Macaca mulatta: one gene and its partner. The protein of the gene in region 2 interacts with the protein of the main gene of each other region in a pairwise test. Links are inferred from orthologs where the notes say so. Each region holds a gene or a part of one and is shown on either strand. Other genes may lie near its edges.

Region 1 (4,586 bases), on a different chromosome or scaffold from region 2:
AGTCCAGGGCGGCCGTCAAGGCTGAGGGCGATTGAAAAGTCCGGGAAAATGCGTCTGGCCCAGCCCCGTCTCCGGAGGCCTGGGGGTGGGTGGGGTTGGCGGGGAGGGCTAAAGGTGTGGACGAAGGCGAAGCCAAGGAGGCATCAGGAGCCTGGGGCCAGGTGACAGCTTAGTTCCCTGGGCAAATAGTAACCCTCGGGTGTTTCTGCCTTCCCTTAAATCTGAAATCATGTTCTGAATTCTGTACAGCCTCTTTCCTTCTCCTGATTAACTTTCATTTACTCCGGAGAAGCGTCTTAACGCCCACTCACACAGGTAGTCCTTCCACACTCCCAGACTCACAACCACAACTCATTCTTGGCTTTAAACTCAGCCCTAAGGCACAGAACCAAGCTTTCCCTTCAGGACTCAGAGGCATTTCTGTGCTCAGAGCCTCCCCAGTCCCTGTCAACTCAGCACTCTGCCTTACCACACATCTGATAAGGAGATTCTCTGTACACAAGTAAAGGCTTCGGGGATGCTGGTGGGGAGATGAGGGAGAAGGGGATAAAGAAAATGTGTGTCGGGGTGCGAGGGAGAGAGAGAGAAAAGAGCGAGTGAGTGCCAGAGAGATCTTAAAAACCACTCGGAATTCAGGTACTGACTTCAGACATGTTTTATTATAATCTTATACAGTCTACATAAATTTGAACTTGTATTTATTTGGGTTCAGTTATAACATAGCATAATAAAAATCAAAGCACTGGTCCTCTGAAATAAAGCAGGCAATCACCATTCAATAAACACACTTGATTTATTTTGTATAAAAGGGTTAAGTTTACAACTAAACTTTTATAAAAAGTTTAGCATGAATAAGTACATCATTACACTTTTTAAAGCAGAAATAGACATCTCTGCCACTATACAAGAAAACTCTAATTAAAGAGTTCACAAGGTTTCACTCAATAGATATATTTATATATAAATATATACACAGCATTCAGTAGGCTTGTGTCAAAAAGGTAATTTCTGACCAAAAGACTTCATTTAAGTGACTGAATACTGGATCCTTCTGGTATTCACGCTCCACCTTTGAAAAAAGGCAAAGTCTGCTTAGATTGGGCAATTCCTTGTGATTTTAACGTTTTCGCTCCCCATGGTGGGAATAGTATATAAAGAAAACCTTCCAACTGCAGAAAGGGCATTTAAAAGTCTTTTTCATAAATAACGAATATCTCAGTCCAGGTGAGAGAACACCCTGGGAAGATGATCATTCTTAGTTTTCCTTCCATTTTTTTTTTCTTTTCAAAAAGGTCCGTTCAACTTGTCCTCCTTGTGAAATGGTTGAAAAGTTCAGCACTTAAAAGATTCTGTGGATTTGTTGTTGTTGTTGTTGTGCAAAGAAAAAAAAAGAAGTCATGAACACCTGCAAAAGATTGGGAGAGAAAGGCATGTTTGAGAGAATGTAACCTAAGGGCAGAGGCGGGCAGACTGGCGCCGGGAGGAAGCCACAGTTTGAACATTTAACCAAACACTCAAAGATTGGGCAAACCCTGGCGTCCAGATGCAACACACACACTCGCCTCGACAGCGCAAATTAAACATTAAAATAGCAGAGACTCAAGGGAAAAACTTCCCAACCCAATCTCCTATTTGGATCTCCAACAGCAGTGCTACAGGCGCCAGTCTGCTTCTTGTAACAATTATTTGATTGAAAACAGCCCTTTAGTTAACAGATAGGGAAGTCTGGGATCCCACATCACAGGGTCTAAGGCACAGGGTAGCAATCCTCAACTAGCCCAGAGAATCCCAGAGGACTATAGTTTTAGGGAAGCAGGATCACTGTGGAATTTGTGGCGATAAGATTAATTACAGTGGAGGTTAGTACCTCATAGTAGTACCAGAGGAATCGTAGGAAGAGCCAGGGCATTACATTTGCTACAAAGCCAATACACACGTTCCTCGGCCGCCTTCGTAGTAAGTTATTGGCATCATTTCCTTTTAAAGGAAAATGTTCTGTGATCTCGAGTACCCAGAACTACAAGCTCCTTCATGTCTAGTGAGACAATGTAGTACGGGTAACACCGCGAAGTAAGCATGCATTTACCAAATCAGACATTTTACAGATACACAAGCAAAAACACATGCGCACACGCACACACACACAGAAGGGCAGTTTACCCACGGGTGGCACAAGCAAACACTCACCGCTTATTCAGCCACACAGTGCTTTGCTGTCATTTGACATTAACTCAGAAGGGAATTCAGAAGCCTGGAGAGAAAGAGGATAAAGAGTACGAGGTTAAGACAATGTTAAGTAGAAAGGGTTTTTGTTTTGTTTTGTTTTGTTTTTTTGAAGTAGTCCACAGACCAGCAAGTTCCATTAAACACGTTTATGGTAACAATTCAGATTCAAAAACAGACGCATTAACATGTCAGAACTTACTAGCAATTTCACGCACAGCTCAATCTACGGCAGATTCTTATGAAAATAAAGTTAAATAGCTCATGCGAAAGTCACCGTCTGGGCTACGTATCTCCTAGTGACAACCCAGGCGACCGCGGGAGTGTGCGGCGGCGGGGCGGGGGCCCCGGAGCAGGTCTTACCTGCAAGGACAGGATGCTGATGTCCGTGTTGAGGGTGGTCAGCGGCGTCCTGGACGCCTGGTTCTGCCCGGGTCTCTGGTGATGGAGGCTGACAATAGTGGGATGCGAGTCCAGGGCGATCTGCAGGTCCAAGATGTAGTCGATGACGTGCTGCAGGATTTCCATCTTGCTCACCTTCTTGTTCTGGGGGATGCTGGGCACCAGCTCCTTGAGCTTGGAGTAGCAGTCGTTCATGTTGTACAGCAGGCTCATCGGGTCGTCCACCGGGGTTTTGCTCCGGGAGATGCCCAGGCTGTGGTCCGACAGGCTGTTTTTCCTAACGGACCTCACGGGACTGAAGGCTTTCATGCTGACCGCGAGGGAAGGCGAGACCGGGAGGGAGCTGGCTGCCCTGAAGCTCAGGCCGCCGCCGCCGCCTGCTGAGCTAGCTGCGCTTGGCACTGGGCTCGGCTCAGAATGAAGCCCGAGCCCGGCGGGGCGGCTTTTATCCGCACTCGCCGGGGCCACACGCTCGGGCTTCCCCTCGTCCCCATTGGTGGAAGGAAGCGCGTCCATCAAGCCGAGCGGACGCTTTCATTGGCAAGCGCGGGCGCGGGGCGTGGGCTCGGTTCTTCCGCGTTCGCAGCCAATCCCCGCGGGGTGGGCGGGACGCGAGCCCAGCTGGGGTGGTAAATAGAGTACAGTACAGTAAGCGCGAGGCGGGCGGGGGGCGGGGAGCGGGGAACCGGGAGCGGGGAGGCGGGAGGCGGGAGGCGGGAGGAGGAGGAAGGAGGGGGGGAGGAGGAGGGAGAGGAGGGAAGATGGGGGAGGGGAAGAAGGAAGGGGGAGGGGGCAGACCCTGGGCGCCTAAATGTGCATTCTTAATTCTAATTCCAAACGCGCGGCAGGACCCTTGCCCTGGGGGTGTTCCCAGACCAAGCCTTGCACACCTTGGAGCTGTCGGCAGCCCTAAAATCACGGCTACACGGGCGAGTTCAGCACCGCAGGGGGAAGCCACAGTTCACTGCAACCCATCGGAGGGAGAGCGTGAGGAAAGATAGAAAGCATTTCAGAAGAAAGTGAAAACGCAAATTAGGTTGTCACTGAAAAGTCACGTTTGTAGAGTGAGTTCGTCTCTTCAGATAAGGAAAAGTTATGTTAACACAAACAAACCACCCACGCATGCATTCGACGACAGGCTTAGTGTGGGTTTTTGCAACCCGGAGCAGCGCGGGAGGCATTACTGTAAACTCAGGAAAATGAGTACTTATTGGAAGCCATGCCCAACCTCGCCGGTCGCTAAGGAGCTCTCACAGGGCGCTTTCAGGGTTCCTTTTCAAGAAGGAGGCAGGGCTATTATAATGATAGTATTAATCGGAAATAATTAGGAGAATTTGCATTTTGAAACTACATTTACATACACTGCCCTTGAAAGGCTGCCGGTCTGTGCCCTTCAGTGTAGGTGGCAAAGTAATGTGATTAATTATGCAAGAATTGTGATTTCTGGTGTCACATTCCAACACCTAGAGGAGTTTCAAAGCTTTGTGACAGATAGGTGGCCCTAGCCATTGATTAACATCTTCACACTAAGAAAAAAAAAATACTCTGTCATATATGAGGTTTGGAATCTTTTCAGCACTAGTGCTGAATACAGGTTCAAGGTTTTGTTTTGTTTTGTTTTGGCTGAGAATGTTTAAGAACTCAGTCTAAATTTTAAAAAGTTTGCAGCTATTTACTCAAATACCTTGCTAATTCTCACATAATTCTAGCTTATCTAGAATTCTGTCCTGATCACAGTATGTCACTTTCTTGTTTTGAAAATATTTTCTCCAGAAAACAATGAACTAGAAAACCCCAGGAAAGGCAATATTCAAATCTTATTTACTTTCTGCCTCAATCTGTACCTCCTCTGCATTTCAGAAAGAGGAAGGGGCAGGCCTAGAGGCTGAAAGAAAAGCTCAATAATGGGGAAACTGTTTTTTCCTTCACTTAATGATTAATTTATCCGCTGGTGGGGCCAG
Region 2 (4,489 bases):
ACCAGTACCTGGCCCTGGGTATCTGGGGCAGAAACATTAAATCAGAATCTCTGGGAGGCGAGCTCAGACATGGGTTTAAAAAATACTCATATCAACCTGTGTACCCTTCCATAAGAGCCACGGAAGTGTGTGGTGAGGTAGTCAAGGTCAGAGGAACTTCCCCACGTATTGGACAAATTTGCACCCCTCCTTCCTTCCCCAGGCAGCAGGCTTCCTCCTTGCAATCCGCCTGCTGCCTACAGGGGTCGCTGAGGCACAGCTGGCCCAGTTTGCGGATTTTCCTCCGGATCCCACTCCCATGCCCAGGGAAAGCTGGAGCCACCGCAGTATAAATTAGCGCCTTTATTTTGAACACCTGAGCGAGCGCCCGCGGCTCGCCCGCCTGCGGTATAAACGTACAAATTCCCTGTAGCACCACACACCATGCCTCAGAGATAAATACAGCCCCAGGGGCTCCTGCTCTGGCAAAGCAACTCTTATTTACAGTAATAGATTACAAAAGTATTATAAAAAGTGGTCCTGAACCGGGGAACGGGTTGGGAGTGGGTTACGGTTACACCTGCTACATTTGGGACAGGAGTGCACCTGGGCCTCACGCCCCCCAAATTACCGGTGCATCCCGGTGCAGGGCTTAGGTCTGGGAGGGTTTCACCCCCATGGGGGAGGGCGCGAGAAAGCTGAACTTGGCCCCTCAAGGTTCAGCTCTGGCCCACCGAGGAACACGGAGCGGCCATCACAATGGATCTCCGGGAAGGGTGCTGCGTGGAAAAAACCGCGCTGAGTCCTTGCCCTGGGTGGCAGAAGGCGGAAACTTCAGTTCTCCCGCCTCTCCCACCTCAAGAGGGGTCGCTTTTAAAGCGCTGTTGGGAGGGGGCATTTAAGTTCAATCTTTTGGGTGCGAGGGACCCTAGGGGCACCATCCCTCGGGCGGGTGGGCGGCCACCCGCCCCTCAGAGCACCTGGTAGATCGGGTTGGGGTTCGCACCCGCAGGGCACTGCGGGGCGGTGTCCGGGGACTGGGTGGGGTCGCCGCTCTCTTCCTCGCTGGGGGCTGCAGCCTCTTGCCCGCTCGGAGGCGACTCCGGAGACACGTCGGCCAGCAGGAGCGCGGGCGCCGCAGGGCTCTCGGTGGAGATGCGCTCCACGATGCTGGACAGGCAGTCTAGGCTCGACACCGCCGCACTCTTCCCGGGCCTGGGTTCTGCGCGGGGAGGGCTCGGTTAGTAAGCAGGGGTGCGGCCGCGACAAGCCTCCCACCCCTGGGTCCAGTACTTTGAGACAGATTGGAAACTGAGGACTTGTCAGAGTCCGGGACAATCGAAAGAAGGAGCTACTTGCTTAGTATTTCATCGCCTGCACCACCTCCCGGGACATAGGCGTGTGTGAGTTGGGGTGGGGGCGTCCTAGATAGAGAGAGGCCAGGATAGCTCCATGAAGGCCATGGGGAGGAGGAGCGAGCAGGGCGAAGCCCGGAATACCTACCGCTGGGCGCCTCGCTGTAGTAGGCGCCTTCGTAGCAGTTCCGCCGCCGGGCGCCGCTCGGGGGGCCGCTGTAGTCCATCTGCAAACAGCAAGGGCGACTGAGTCAGGCCCGCGGGACGGCGCGGGGCCCGAACACCAATCCCTGTAGCCGCCCCCTCCCTAACTCTAGCCCCAGCCTCGAGTTCCGGGCCCAGACCTGTCCTGGTTGGGGGTGATTACGGGTGGGTAGGAGATGAGGTCTGCAACATGCAGGGCCAAACCAAGGGCGGACAGTCACCAAGGGGCGCAAATTTACATTTTGGAAGTAGGGAAAAATACAGAAAAAGAGCTTCATGTCCGCGCTGCAGTGTTCTAATCGCGCCCCCAACGGGGTGGCTCGAACGCACGCCCGCACGCTTCCAAAACAATTAGGCTACCCCAGTGACAGCTGCCCATTACACGGGGGTCCTCTCGCTTGGAAAGGATCCTGTACTAAACCTCCCGCAAGGCTAGCTCCCCGCCCTTGGAAGCACATCCCAGATATTCGGAGCGCCGCCCTAACTTCCTCACTTCCTGGGGTCCCGGCCTTACCATGCCGTCGGAGCAGTTGGAGCGCGGGCTGGACGCGTCGGAGTCGCCACTGTAGTGCTCGCCGCCGCGGCCTGGGGGCAGCGGGCCGGGCGCATAGAAGGCGGCGGCGGCGCCAGGGGGCGCGGCGTCCTGGTCGCGCAGCAAAGCCTGCAGGCCCTCGATATAGCGGATGGCGTTGCGCAGGATCTCCACCTTGGGCAACCGCTGGTTCGGGTTGCTAGACGTGCAGCGCTTCAGCGTCTCAAAGGCCTCATTTACTTTGCTCAGGCGGCGCCGCTCGCGCATGGTGGCGGCCTTGCGGCGGTCGGCGTTGGTGGTCTTGCGCTTGCACGCCTTGCAGGCCCACAGTAGGCAGCGGCCCGCCTGGTGGTGCCCGCTGGGCGCGCGCACATGTTCGTCCTCACGCGCGCCCTGGGCCGGGTGCACCGCCGCGGGGAAGTGCGAGTGCTCTTCGGGTTTCAGGAGCGCGCCCACGTGCATCAGGCGCGGGTCCAGGTCTTCGAAGAAGCGCAGGTCCGGGGAGTCGAAACACGGGTCGTCATAGAAGTCGTCCGTTGTGGCAAAGGAGCAGAGAGAGCCGTCGGGGCCCGTCAGGTCTACGTCGCGGAGCGGTGGCGACAGTAGCTCCATATCCTGGCGGTGGCGCGGCACCGTCCTGGCTTCGCCCAACCCAAGCGGCAGAGAGTGGCCGGAATTTTCTGCCGCTCGGGAGCCCTGGCTGTTGATAGTAAAGTGCTGGAAGTGTGAATGACCACCCACTGTCCCCCACCCCTCCCTGTCCTGTCCCGCCCGATTTGTGGTTAAGGAAAACGGCGGCAGCGCCCTAGGGCTTCCTCACCCCTAGCTTCGCGCCAGGCGCCCTGGGCTATTTATCCGTGGTAGCCTAAACGCCCCGGAGCCCAGGCGGGCAGCTAGGGGCGGGGGAGCCCGAGGCCAATAGGAACACAGCGGGGCGGGGCTTGGGGAGTCCCCTGGGTGGCCGCAGGGGCCCGCAGAGTGGCCAGCCAGCCCGCCCCTCCACACTGGCGCGCGCTCTCGGTTCCCTACCGGGCAGGGAGGGAGGGAGCGACTGGTAGCCTTAGGCGGCTGCACTTGGCTCTCCGGCACGCCCTTTCCAAACCTCTCCAACACCCGACTGCTGTGTCCGCGGGAAACGCTGGCTGTGCGCGCTCACCTCTGAGCTGACTTTTAATACTCCTCTGCCCCTGATTTTTGGGGAACCCATGGGTAGAGCAGCTGTAGAAATCAGGTCGTGAGTTATTTGGAGAGAGGCAAGGGATTGGGGGCATAGAGCTGAGAGAGTGAGACTGTGAAAGAGGGACCGAAAGAGGTTGAGAGACACGCAGAAAGCAGAAAGCTTAGAGTGTCAGGGGCAAAGAAACGCACGAGTGCAACAACAGGCAGAGAAACCCCGATAGTTGAAGTGGGAGAGCTCGAGACAAACGGGTCGTAGAGGCTGTGATATTCCACCAGTCCCCGACCTGGGAGTTGCTCAGGAGGTCGTGGGCCCAGTCCTTCTTCCCTAGACGCTTAGAAACCCCGCCATGGTTGTACAGGAATCAGAGATTGCTGCTAAAGCTTCGCGCCAATCTCTCCAAACTCGGATCCTGCCCAGGTGAGGAATCCCGTCCATCTAAATCTGCATGTTTCCACAGCAGGGTTGTCCAGTGCCATGCCTGGGGTCTAGGCTGAGCTGCCTCTTCAGCTGGGAAGAAAACCCTTCTCCTCCGTTCTTGGCCCTGCCTCACCCGCGGTGCTGAGTCAAGGAAAGTGCATTTGGCCAAGGTCGCAAACTTCAGGACCTGGCCTGAGAATCTCACCTCATCTCACCTGAAGTCTCTGAGAGTGTGATTTGCAGACCAGTTGAATCCAGACTTCAGAGTGTCCCCACTGTGTGATTTTGTGGAAGTCCTGTCTCCTTCCTTAGCCTCAGTTTCCAGTTATAGATTTGGGAATGACAGTAATTTCTTGGAGTAATTGTGGTGGGGATGAGAGTCTGAAGAGACCAAGGATGTGGAAGCCCTCAGGCAGTGATGTAGAGTTATTCGAGCAAGGGGCTTTCAGAGTTGGATGCTACGTCCCCAAGGCTTACAACTCGTCCATGGCACCATGCCCTGACAGAGTCCCACGTAGTCTCCAGGCCTCAGCTCTGTCTCTTTCCTGCAGCCTCACTGGAAAGGCTGGAAACAGGAGGAGGCAACCACCCCATGGAATGTGGGAACTCTGGCTCCCATACAAGCCTCAGCATACCGGCCACCCCCGTGGGGGCCTCTCAACCTCTTCCTGAATATGCAGTTCACACAGTCCTCTCAGCACTCTGGCTAGGAATCTCTGTTGGCCATACATCCCTGCCTGGATCTCCCCTCCTGGAAACCAGAAATTTAAGCAGGAGTGATCTTTGTGCCTTTCCCACTAACTTCTGGAAGGCTTCCTAGCT

What was found.
Region 1: the proteins of MYOD1 (region 2) and ID2 interact in a two-hybrid assay, tested with the Homo sapiens proteins (2 studies listed by BioGRID). The link is inferred for Macaca mulatta from reciprocal best matches to the Homo sapiens genes MYOD1 and ID2.

The regions. Positions count from the first base shown.
Region 1 is NC_133418.1:116,141,341-116,145,926, forward strand, and holds ID2 (DNA-binding protein inhibitor ID-2), read right to left. Parts: upstream 3,045-4,586; 5' UTR 2,935-3,044; coding exon 2,587-2,934; intron 2,252-2,586; coding exon 2,195-2,251; 3' UTR 2,188-2,194; intron 1,406-2,187; 3' UTR 641-1,405; downstream 1-640. UniProt on the Homo sapiens protein: Transcriptional regulator (lacking a basic DNA binding domain) which negatively regulates the basic helix-loop-helix (bHLH) transcription factors by forming heterodimers and inhibiting their DNA binding and transcriptional activity.
Region 2 is NC_133419.1:47,742,532-47,747,020, forward strand, and holds MYOD1 (myoblast determination protein 1), read right to left. Parts: upstream 2,915-4,489; 5' UTR 2,683-2,914; coding exon 2,053-2,682; intron 1,562-2,052; coding exon 1,483-1,561; intron 1,202-1,482; coding exon 951-1,201; 3' UTR 328-950; downstream 1-327. UniProt on the Homo sapiens protein: Acts as a transcriptional activator that promotes transcription of muscle-specific target genes and plays a role in muscle differentiation. Together with MYF5 and MYOG, co-occupies muscle-specific gene promoter core region during myogenesis.